3 linked regions of the Sus scrofa genome follow. The protein of the gene in region 2 purifies or fractionates together with the protein of the main gene of each other region. This does not show direct contact. Links are inferred from orthologs where the notes say so. Each region holds a gene or a part of one and is shown on either strand. Other genes may lie near its edges. The genes, in order: SQLE, MARCH6 and PLIN2.

Region 1 (3,605 bases), on a different chromosome or scaffold from region 2:
ACAAAGGATTCAGCATAAAAGAAATAATTAGGAGAAAATAAATTACTGTTTAAATAAGAAAGGCAAAAGCAAGAGAATCTCTGGAGAAGTAGCAGAATAAAATAGTTTCCAGCGTTGGCTCTTGTTGGTTTAGTAGGAGAAGAGAAAAATCAAGGGCTTATCTGCTGATTCTCCCTGGCTGCTGCCCCACAGGGTTACCACCTCCTAGAAATTGTACTCTGATGGAGGCGATTGCAAGGTAATATCAGTAATTCCTCCACATGTTCTAAGCCCTAGCCACTGACTGAACGCACTGTTTGAGGTTAGAAAATTCTCAAATAAAAGAATGTGGTTGGTCTTTGGAGTTTGTAATGAGATTCAGTCTTCTGTGAGCTGTGTCCGTCAAAGTGGCTTAATCCCAGATGGCTTGGATGGTAGGGTCTTGAGGGGGGATGATCCTTCAATAGCATTATCTTCAAATCCTCTCTGTAATGTCCGATGATTATGTATTTAACTTTGTTTACGTACCTTTTAAAAAATGGTCGAATCCCAGATGGTTTGGATGGTAGAGTCTTGAGGGAGGGTGATCCCCTAATGGTCTTGCATTAACTTGAGCTCACATAACAGCTCCTTCAATAGCATTATCTTCACATCTCTCTGTAATGTCCAATTATATATTTAACTTTACGTACATTTTAAAAAATGGTCTTTTCACTGTGTATTTTTAACCATTTAGTTGACTATCCTTTATTTTTGTTGTAGGAACTCCATGCTCCATTGACTATTGTCGCAGATGGACTTTTTTCCAAATTCAGGAAAAACCTGATCTCCAATAAAGTTTCTGTTTCCTCTCATTTTGTTGGCTTTCTTATGGAGGTACTGTAGGAGTGCAATTGTAGAAAATTAAAAGCAATCTGAAATTTGGAAATTATTAAAATTTTTTTTTATTTGTTTTTCTAGAATGCACCACAGTTTAAAGCAAATCATGCTGAACTTGTTTTAGCTAATCCGAGTCCAGTTCTCATCTACCAGATTTCACCTAGTGAAACTCGAGTACTTGTTGACATCCGAGGAGAAATGCCAAGGAATTTAAGAGAATACATGATTGAAAACATTTACCCACAACTACCTGGTAAGAAATAGGATTTCACTCCCATTGTAGTCTGTCGCCTACAAGTAAGTTGGGTCATCTCCAGTTCCCACTAAAGCTTTGTCACAATTAGGCCGAAGATAAGGATGGCAGGTGAAAAATGCATCCAGTCAGATACACTGGAGCTGAATGAACTATTTAAACTAGCACATGAAAAAATCTCCAAGTTAAAAAAAATAGTTTCAATGTATTTTTTCATAGTAATAATTAAAGCATAGTTTTCCAAATAATTATTAATATTGGCATATAGTATTTTTTAAGGTAGTCTTGATAGTGATCTAAGGTCTCTGATTTCTTGAAATATCTCTTAAACTTCATTACTTTCCGTGTTTGGATTTTGTAGAAATGATAGATAGCTACCTTTTATTGAAGGCCTACTGTATAAGAGGTTCTTTACAAACATAATTTAATTTCATCTACACAACCACCCTATGAGGTAGGCATTATCATTATCCTAGTTTTACAAATGAGGGAACTAAGATTCAGAGAGGTTACTCAGCTTCTCCAAAGATAAACTGTAAGTAGCCGTGGCAAGGTTGAAAGCAGGTCTTTCTGTCTCCTGTATCCCTGCTGGCAGAACGTGATGGCCATGGGGGGGGTCCTCAAGATCGGTTTAGTTTGGAGTTGAATACAGAAAGGCTTTGTGAGGGTTGGTTTTTTTTTTTTTTTTTTTTTTTTTTTTTCAGAGCCATACCTGAGGCATATGGAAGTTCCTGGGCTAGAGGTTGAATCGGAGCTGCAGTTGCTGGCCTGTACTGCAGCCACAGCAACACAGGATCTGATCTGCATCTGTGACCTACACCATAGCTCATACTAGTTGGGTTCGTAACCTGCTGAGCCACCATAGGAACTCTTAAGGCTTTGTGAGATTTTAGACATCTTTGTAAAATACTCATAAAAATTAGGATTTTTTTTTTTTGAGAATGGGAGGATGTAAGAAAGAAATGTAAAAAAAATAAGAATGTTGATAAAATTGAAGTGAAACCCTGTTTGCCAATTGTATTATTATAGTAATAGATTATTCTTGGTATGAGTCCATTTTATTTAAATACTTTTTTTGACTATGCCTGCAGCATGTGGAAGTTCCTGGGCCTGGGATTGAACCCAAGTAACAGCAGTGACCCAAGCCCCAACACTAGATCCTTAACCTGTTGCACCATAAGGGGACTCCTTAATATTCTTTTTAAAAAATTATTATTTTTTGTCTTTTTAGGGTCATACCTGTGGCATATGGAAGTTCCCGGGCTAGGGGTCAAATTGGAGGTGCAACTGCCGGCCTACACCACAGCCATAGCAATTCCAGATCCGAGCTGCATCTGCGGCAACGTGGGATCCTTAAACCCCTGAGTGAGGCCAGGGATCAAACCTGTGTCCTCATGGATGCTAGTTGCGTTCGTTAACACTGAGCTGCAACGGGAACACCTAAAATTATTCTTTAAACTAAGGGAAAGCACTGTGTTTAATTATTGACAGTATTATCAGAAATGAAAGAATACATGGACCATTTTCAACTTTTAATAATGACATTTTCAGCATTTCAATATATTTTCACTCAGTTAAGCCATTTTCTGAAGCAAGTTGGAACGATTGAGTTACACATTTTAGAAAAGGGATAGTTAATAATGTGATTTTTTAGCTTTTTTTTTCTTTTATAGTAGACTGTTTTTTTCCAAACCAGAGCTTAGTTGGAGCAGACCACCCTGTAGTCAGGGAGAGAAACTATTTGTAGGTTTATGTGCATATTAGTCAGGTTATAGAAATTCTCATTGTGAGAAGGGAATGGTTTCAACACAGGCAGTTCTGCTCCTGTGTTCAGATTACAATACAAATTCAATGAAAAGGAAGTCCATTTTCTTTCTTGCTTTTTTTTTTGTTGTTGTTGTCTTTTTGCCTTTTCTAGGGCAGCACCCGAGGCATATGGAAGTTCCCAGGCTAGGGGTCGAATCAGAGCTGTAGCCGCCGGCCTACACCAGAGCCACAAGCAACCTGGGATCTGAGCCGCATCTGCAACCTACACCACAGCTCACGGCAACGCTGGATCCTTAACCCACTGAGCTAGGCCAGGGATCCAGGGATCGAACCCACAACCTCATGGTTCCTAGTCGGATTCGTTAACCACTGAGTCACAACGGGAACTCCCAGAAGTCCATTTTCTATACAGGTAGAAGCACAAGACTTTAAAACTAGGAAGTATCTCAGAGATGAGCTAATCCAACTGTTTCCTTTCTAGACAGAGAGACTGAAATTCAGAAAGTGGTTCTCTCTACATCTTACCCTTTTTCTGCTGTACATACACTCCTGCTGTATGTGAATTGGTTTATCCCACCTGTTACAGAATATGGTGGTGACCAGAGGTTGGGTGTTAAATACACGAGTGTCAGGTGTTAATCAGTTAACATTTGGAAGAGAAGTGGGTGGTTTTTCTGTCTCTGGGTTTGCCTCACTTTTCCTCTTTTTTTTTTTTTGGTGTTTCCAG
Region 2 (4,260 bases):
TTATTGTGTCAAGAACTTGAATTCCTTCCTGTCTTGGGTACCATGAGTGACATTGGTCAAATCAGTGACATTAGTCTTCAAGGGCTGCTCTCTTTCTGAAGGATTCTACTTCATTATTTTCATTCTCAGTTTCATTCTGATTGAGGAAGTTCAGAGGTGGGAGATTTTCCCAATTCCTTTCCTCACACGGATAGAAAAGAGATGGCTAGCATTCTTGCATCTATTTCTGCAATTTATCTGCATATTGTTTAAAATATATTTTCTTGGGATTAGAGACATCTTTAGTTCTACTTAGGTAATTCTAAGGTGGTGGCCTTTCTCATCAGTAATTTCTAAATAGTTCTAAATAATTTCTAAATAATTCTAAATAATTCTAAATAATTTCTAAATAATTCTTTGGTGAGGAAAAGTGGTGTACTGAAAGAACGTGCTCAGTCTTTCATAAGGCTGAAGCAATTTAGCCCTGGCCAGGTTAAGTGTCCATAACCCAGTATACCAAGTTCTGTCCCTATCTGAACAGATTTCCCCTAGAGAAGGGTGTTTGTTTCAACCTCCAACCTAAGCAGTTTATTGTAGTTCTTCCAGTCAAATGCAGAACTATGGTAATGATAGGGCCTGACTTTTTCATTTTACTTCCTTTTTGTCTTTTGTCTTTTTAGGGCTGCAGCCGTGGCATACGGAGATTCCCAGACTAGGGGTCCAATGGAAACTCTAGCTGCCGGCCTACGCCACAGCCAAAGGAAATCAGAGCCTCGACTGCAACCTACACCACAGCTCAAGGCAAAGCCAGATCTTAACCCACTCAGCCAGGCCAGGGATCGAATCCCCAACGTCATGGTTACTAGTTGGGTTCATTAACCACTGAGTGACGTCGGGAACTCTGACTTTTTAATTTTATTGGCATTCTAGTACTTCCTCAAAACATGCATCAGAACTGCCCGCGTGCAGAACAAAAATGCATATTCCTGGGCCAGCTCCAGACACGCGGCACCGGAATCTCCGGGCGCGATAGCGCAGAACTCGTATTTCACAAGTCCCAGGTAACAGTTCTTCAGCCCTGGGACCCGTCTTTGTCCTGCACCGCCGCCCGGCCTGCGCTGGGCTAGCCGCCTCGCTGTCAGGCGCTGGCTCACGCTGCTCACTTCCATCGTGTTGTGTCTTCTTTGTTGCTTCCCTCAGTGTTATTAGAGTTCAACTCCTACTAAGGTTTCAGCCTCGCTGCCCCGCGCAACCCTCAGGACAAGGTCCAGGAGGCCCAATGCCCACGACGGCGGCCACCAGCTGCTCGGGCCGGGCCGGGATGGCCCCCCACGGGTACCGCGCACTGAGCGTGCGCGCCTCCGCCGCGGCCGGAAATGACGGCACCTGTCGTTGGGGGCGCTCCGCCCCTTCCGCCTCCATGCCCCGCCCAGGCCTCGCCCCTCTGCTCTCCCCGACCCTCCCCCTCCCCTCTGTCGCCCGCTTTCTGTCAGCCTCTCTCCCTCTCCCTCTTCCCCTCTCTCCTTCCTCTAGCTTCCTCTCTCGCACCTGAGCACAAACACCTGCCCGGGCCCGGCTCCGCTCCCTCCTCCCTCCTCCCCCTCCCTTTTTCCCCGCCCCGGCCGGAAGGCTCCGGCCTCGGCCACAGGAGCTTCGCGGCTGCGTCACCGCCGCCCCCTCAGACAAGATGGACACCGCCGAGGAAGGTAAGTCGGCGGCGCCCGCGCCCTTTCTCCCGCGCCCGGGTTCGGGCTGGGCCCGCGCCCAGTCTGCGGCGCTCCAGGCGGGCCGCGGGGCCCGGGCGGCGCTGGGGGCACCTCGGCTCGGGGCGGAGGCGCGCGGTGACAGCGGGGGACCGGCGCCCGGGCCGTTTGCCCGCCGAGCAGCCCGGCGCGAGGGGCGGCGGGGACAGAAGGTGACCCCTCGGCGCCCCCCGCCGTTTCCCGCCCGCGCGCGTGGAGGGCAGGGCCCCTGCCCGGGCCGGGGGGCGTCGGGGCTGCGGTGGCCGCGGCCGGTGAGACTCCCCACCCCTCCGTCCCGCCAGCCCCGGGGGACGACGCTGTCGTCGCCGCTCAGAGTCTGGGGGCGTTTTCCACACCCTTCCCCCACTCGGTTTTGTCTTTCTTTATATCGTTTTGCCCGTAGCTCTGCGGGCCCGACCCTTTCACGGCAGAACTTCTTTGTTGACTCAAACTTAGCGAAAAATACCCCGCCAGGTGACGGCTGAGTGGAATCAACTGACCCCTATTTAAAAACCTTATCCTCTGCTTGCGAGTCCCGAATTATTTGTTTACTAAACGGGGACGAGGCAGGCCCAACGGGGTTATTCGCAGAAGGGGTGCTCTGTAGAATTCCTTTGTTTCAGTGTGATTTATTTTGTGCTTAATCCCTGACACCAATAAGCCGAGTTTTGTGCGTGTGTTGCTTGGTTGAGTGTGTGTGTGTTTTGGATGTGGCTGTTTTGGATCAAGCTGACTCTTGTAAACTGAATACATACGTGGATACATAACTGAACAGTTGTGACTATTGAAATGCATTTGCTTATCCGCTGACGGTAATTAGGTTGTTTTTTAAGCAGTTTTATCTTTTTAGAGTCTATCGAATAATTTTACTGAGTCCATAGAGGAAATTACTCTCCTGATGCTTGATGTGTAGGATGTCAGTGAAGATAAGATACCTTTCTGCTTCGGGTATATTATGTAGCTGTCTGATAAGCACCTTTCAACCGTATGGATTTTGGTGATTTTAAATGAGGATCTTTGAGGACTGTTGTGGCGTGCAATAATGAGTGACAGGAAGTTTGATACTGTATGTGTAATGAGTGGAGACAATTTATTATTTTTTAAAGAAGTCTTAGTAAGAACTTCAAACTGTAGCCGCATGTTATACTTGAGTTTACAAAGCATATTTACATGCCTTCACATTTGATCTTAGTAAGAGCCCCGTGGAGTAGCGCGGGGGGTATTATAGATGCGGAAGTTCAGGCTGGCTGGCTTCTTTCTTTCTTCAACAGTGACAAGCCAGATCCTTAACCGCTGAGCTTCCTGGGAACTCCCAAGCTTAGTTATTTAAATAACTTGTCTAAGCTTCACATGCTAGTTAAGAGACAGATATGAACCTAGGCCTTCTCATTACAAATAGTTTTCATTATGTCTTAGTTTTTTTATTATATACAGTGAGTGAAGTAATAACCACCGGCGACTCCTTTGGAAAAAAACAGTCAAGTGACACTGCTGAGGAGGTTATTAGGAATTATCTTCTTTTGATAGATGATTCTTGTGTGTAAATTTCCGTCTCCATAGATTTCACATACTTCTGGATTCAGATTTTAATGACTCAATTTAGTAAGGCTTGTGTTTATTTACCACTTGATAATGTACTGGCATGTTTTCCTCCCATTCTTTAAGCCTGTGCACTTAGTGTTTGCATACTAAATGTGTGGTGTGATAGTGGTAATTCAGGAATTGTAGAATCTGAAAGTTTATGTGGAATCATGATGAAAGAAATATATTTTTTTTGTCTTTGACCACAGCATATGGAAGTTCACAGGCCAGGGGTCAAAGTGGTGCAACAGTAGCAACCTAAGCTGCTGCAGTGACAACACAGGGTCCTTAACCCGCTGAGCCACAGGGAACTCCTGAAAGAAATATTTTCTATGTGCTTCTAGTGCACTGTTTTTTTCCTTGTAAAGTTATAATAAGGGTGAGGTATAAATGATATTTACTGTCTTGAATGCTGTTCTTGAAATAACTAAAATTTACTGAGGACTTAATATAGGGCATGTACTTCACTAAATACTTCATAGACATCTCATTTAATTCTCGTAACACTTTTAGGTACACAGCATTCCCTTTTTTACAGATGGAAGAAAGTAAGGGTTAGTATGATTAAGTAACTTGCCCAAAGTCATGCAGGTAACATGTCAAAGGTGAGATTCAGACTCAGTTCTGTCAGACTCCGTGGTTAAATTAGATATTTGTAAGTGGATACCCAGTATCCGATGTTGAGATAATTATGTTTTTGTTGCTTCCTTTGTAAGAAGAATCATATATGTAATTTTTTTGTTTTGTTTTGTCTTTTTAGGGCCGCATCCACAGCATGTGGAGGTTCCCAGGCTAAGGGTCAAATCAGAGTTGTAGCTGCCGGCCTACACCACAGCCGCAACAATGCAGGATGCGACCTACACCACAGCCCATGGCAACACCGGATCCTTAACCCACATAGGGAGGCCAGGGATCAAACCTGTGTCCTCATGGATACTAGTCAGATTTGTTTCCACTG
Region 3 (4,353 bases), on a different chromosome or scaffold from region 2:
TCTTCTGCTTGGGGTGGTTGCGTAACTTGTTTGCTCATACAAGTTTGTTCAAGTCCTTGCCTTTTACACAAGAAAAAACTGGGGCTCATAGGATGATGACTTTGTTTCTTATTTTTGGCCATGCCAGTGGCATGTGAAAGATCCCTGGCCAGGTATGAAACCCACACCGCAGCTGTGACCAAGCCACAGCAGGAGGACTACAGGGGACCCGTAACTTCCTGAGCCACCAGAGAAATTTTTTTTTTTTTTTTTTTTTTTTTTTTTGGACACGTATGGAGTTCCCTGGCCAGGGATCAGATCCAAGCCGCAGCTGCGGCAACATCCTTCCCACCCCGTCCTTAACACACTGTATCAGGCTAGGAATCCAACCAATGTCTCAGCGCTGGCAAGTCGCTGCAGAGCCTGTTGGGCCCACAGCAGGAACTCCCACTAGGGAACTTTTTTTTTTTTTGGCCTTTTGCCATTTCTAGGGCCACTTCTGCGGCATATGGAGGTTCCCAGGCTAGGGGTCGAATTGGAGCTGTAGCCGCCGGGCCTAAGCCAGAGCCACAGCAACACGGTCTGAGCAGCGTCTGCGACCTACACCACAGCTCACCGCAACGCGGGATCCTTAACCCACTGAGCAAAGCCAGATCGAACCCGCAAACTCCTGATGATTTGTTTATTTAAAAAGAAAACGCATAACCCACAACTTTTTAAAAAAGAGGTCATCCTGCATAGTAAACATAGGCAGCAATCACCCCAGGGTGATTTTAGTCTTGATGAGGAAACAAAAGAGACTGAGGGTAGTCTCACAACTTTTGGAAATTCCGATTCAACTTTAAATTAGGCAGATGTTTGAGGAACTGATTTTATTTATTTATTTATTTATTTTTTGTCTTTTTTTTTGTTGTTGTTGTTGTTGCTATTTCTTGGGCCGCTCCCGCGGCATATGGAGGTTCCCAGGCTAGGGGTTGAATCGGAGCTGTAGCCACCGGCCTACGCCAGAGCCACAGCAACGCGGGATCCGAGCCGTGTCTGCGACCTACACCACAGCTCACGGCAACGCCGGATCGTTAACCCACTGAGCAAGGGGCAGGGACCGAACCCGCAACCTCATGGTTCCTAGTCGGATTCGTTAACCACTGCACCACGACGGGAACTCCAGGAACTGATTTTAAAGTCTAAAGAGCAGCAAAACCGCAATCTCTACAGATCCTTCCTGGGTTGGAATTTCACAAAACTGTAGGACTTATTTCCTTGCTATAAGTAACAGTCTAGACGCCACCGTTACCATTTTTAAAGACAGTTCTACTCCGAGGACTGATAGAAATCAACAGTTTAGTTACAGGCTGTCCCCAACACTCCTCCACCGCCTTTTGCAAAGCAACTACGCCTGCGTAGGCGCTGGCGCATTTTTGCCGGGCGCTGGGCCCCTCAGCTCTCCTGACTTAGGCAGGGCCCCCGCCAACGCAGGACAGACCCCGCCCCCGCCAAAGGCGCGCAGCTGCCTCTAAGGTCTCGGATTTCAAGAGGCCTCGGGTCACGTGGTGCGGGGCGGGTTATAAAGCCAGGCGCTGTAGGGCCCAGCTCTGTTGACTGCCGCGCTGATTTCCCGGGCTCTCGACTCTAATTTGCTGCTGGTCGGTGGGTGTGCGCCTCTTTCTGTGGTTTCTCCTGGCTGCTCGGCGCCGGCGGGCTTCAGGCTGGTCTCTCGCGGCCTCACGGCGGTTTCCGGCCCCGGCTGGGAAGGGGCGGTCTCCTGGGCTTGCGCTTTCCACCCTCGCTTTTGATGGTTGAGGCTTCTTTTCTGGCCGCTGCTATAGTGCGGTTGTAGCTTCTTGGCTTGGTTGCGGGTTAACAGTTTCCATTTGTTCCGAAAGGACATTATTAAAAGGAAACGCGGGAGAAAATCGTCTTAAGCCAGAATTTTCTGGGGGTACGCAGTGACATGCCGGCCTATTGATACTGGCCTTCAGCGTGGTTCTTGTTTCATGTAAAACACACTCTTGGCGGCAGTGTGAACTTACTGGCCTGGAAGTGATGGACAGAGGGTGTTCGGGTTCCTTCCTTCCCAGTTCTGCTGCTCAGCTGTAGGGCTGTTTGGTGTGGCTGTGGGTCGTTGGGGACAATAAGTTGACATTTAAAAGCGTCCTGAAAATTTTTTCTGTTCTTCGGAGCACTCCGTTTCTCCTGTGCTTAATGTCCTTTGAACTAGTTTCAGCCCTTTGACAAAGAATAAATTCCCCTCAAAGTGCTTCTTCTTGATCGTCTTGACTATCCAAGACGTCTTCTACTTGAAAGGCAGCTTTAGTTTTAACATGGATTTTTTTTTTTTTTTTTGGGGTCTTTTTCTAGGGCCGCACCCGCGGCACAGGGAGGTTCCCAGGCTAGGGGTCTAATTGGAGCTACAGCCGCCAGCCTGCGCCCGAGCTACAGCAACTCCGGATCCGAGCAGTGTCTGCAACCTACACCACAGCTCATGGCAAGGCCGGATCCTAACCCACTGAGCGAGGCTAGGGATTGAACCCGCAACCTCATCGTTCCTAGTCGGATTCGTTAACCACTGAGCCACGATGGGAACTCCTTAACATGGATTTTTACTTGGTTAGCATTTTTGCCCACAGATAGTTCTCTTCCAAAGGCATCTCAAATGTCCTGGTGGGGAAAATATTGAATTGTACACTTTAAGTGGGTGAATTATACACGTGAGCTCCGAAGCATCTGGGAATGTATTTACCCAGGGGAGAGTTCTGAGAGTCAGAGGGTGGGAAGAAGTGCCAGCTACCCTTAACTTCATCTCTGTTCTCCTTCCTTTGCTTGAAACTAGCTTTTGCTTTGGTTGGGGGTGGAATTTGGGAGAGTCTTTTTTTTTTTTTTGTCTTTTTTGTTGTTGTTGTTGTTGCTATTTCTTGGGCCGCTCCCGCGGGCATATGGAGGTTCCCAGGCTAGGGGTTGAATCAGAGCTGTAGCCACCGGCCTACGCTAGAGCCACAGCAACGCGGGATCCGAGCCGCGTCTGCAACCTACACCACAGCTCACGGCAACGCCGGATCGTTAACCCACTGAGCAAGGGCAGGGACCGAACCCGCAACCTCATGGTTCCTAGTCGGATTCGTTAACCACTGCGCCACGACGGGAACTTCGGGGAGAGTCTTATTACAATGTCCTGAAATAAATTTCTCTTCCACAGATTTCTTACTCCAGGAAGAAACATGGCATCCGTTGCTGTTGAATCACAACCGGTAGGATTTTTAAATAGCTGTTTCTTGATTCCGTTACCTCCCCCGTGTGTTTTGGAAGTTAACACCTCTCTCCCCCTTGGTTGCAGAGTGTGGTGACAAGGGTGGCCAACCTACCCTTGGTGAGCTCCACGTATGACCTTGTCTCCTCGGCTTATATCAGTACAAAGGATCAGTATCCCTACTTGAAGTCTCTGTGTGAGATGGCAGAGAAGGGCGTCAAGACCATCACCTCCGTGGCCATGTCCGGTGCTCTCCCTATCATCCAGAAGCTAGAGCCTCAGAGTAAGTTCCCATTTCCCCTCACAATTTAGTCCCAGGTATTCAGGAGTGAGCCTGAAGCTGGCCTGAATATTATAAATGTCTGTGTTGGGCCCTAAGCACACAATAGCTATGCTAGGGAATCCTCAGCCTTTTCTGAAGTACATGTGTCCTTTACTGGAAAAACTGCCAGATGAACCCTCAGTGTTATGGAAGCTTCCACAATGTTATGGAACCCTCATTGCCGCTTCATAGCAATGGCAGATGCTATGATACTAAAAAAAAAAAAAAAAAAATCCCCCAGAGATGCTTCTACATTGGGAACTGAGATAACAAGGGAACCCAGAGAAAGAGCTAACTTTCTTGGGACTACACAGTATACATGAACTGTTTAAAATAAATAAATAACAACATATAATTCACCCACTTAAAGTATATAATTCAGTGGTTATTAATACATGCAGAGTTATGTGGACATTACTATGATCAATTTGAGAACATTTTCATAACCCTAGAGAGAAACCTCATGAATTTCTGTTTGGTTTGATGAAAAAGTCCTAGAAATGATGGTGGTAATTGTTCCCCAATATTGTGAATGAATTTAATGCTAGTGAATTGTACACTTAAAAATAGTTAATAGGGGAGTTTTCTGGTTGGTGCAGTGTGTTAAGGATCCAGCTTTGCTACTGCTGAGGCTCAGGTCACTGCTGTGGCATGGTTTCCCTGGCCCAGGGAACTTCTCTATGCTGTGGGGCACAGCCAAAGAGAAAAAAAAAATAGTTAAAATGGTGAAGTTTTTAAATGTATATTTTACTACAATTTTTTTTAAAAAGAAAGAAACCATATGCTCATTTGCAGTCACTCCCCATCC

Evidence for each region.
Region 1: the proteins of MARCH6 (region 2) and SQLE purify together in Homo sapiens (affinity purification with western blotting; 4 studies listed by BioGRID and IntAct, with this or other methods). This does not show direct contact. The link is inferred for Sus scrofa from reciprocal best matches to the Homo sapiens genes MARCHF6 and SQLE.
Region 3: the proteins of MARCH6 (region 2) and PLIN2 purify together in Homo sapiens (affinity purification with western blotting; 3 studies listed by BioGRID). This does not show direct contact. The link is inferred for Sus scrofa from reciprocal best matches to the Homo sapiens genes MARCHF6 and PLIN2.

Annotation. Positions count from the first base shown.
Region 1 is NC_010446.5:14,679,153-14,682,757, reverse strand, and holds part of SQLE (squalene monooxygenase), read left to right. Parts: intron 1-741; coding exon 742-855; intron 856-939; coding exon 940-1,111; intron 1,112-3,605. UniProt on the Homo sapiens protein: Catalyzes the stereospecific oxidation of squalene to (S)-2,3-epoxysqualene, and is considered to be a rate-limiting enzyme in steroid biosynthesis.
Region 2 is NC_010458.4:72,125,039-72,129,298, reverse strand, and holds the start of MARCH6 (E3 ubiquitin-protein ligase MARCH6), read left to right. Parts: upstream 1-1,429; 5' UTR 1,430-1,666; coding exon 1,667-1,685; intron 1,686-4,260. UniProt on the Homo sapiens protein: Endoplasmic reticulum membrane-associated E3 ubiquitin ligase that plays a critical role in mitigating endoplasmic reticulum stress, the regulation of cholesterol and lipid homeostasis, and ferroptosis.
Region 3 is NC_010443.5:203,682,474-203,686,826, forward strand, and holds the start of PLIN2 (perilipin-2), read left to right. Parts: upstream 1-1,532; 5' UTR 1,533-1,622; exon of another isoform or gene 1,623-1,626; intron 1,627-3,172; 5' UTR 3,173-3,194; coding exon 3,195-3,224; intron 3,225-3,310; coding exon 3,311-3,506; intron 3,507-4,353. UniProt on the Homo sapiens protein: Structural component of lipid droplets, which is required for the formation and maintenance of lipid storage droplets.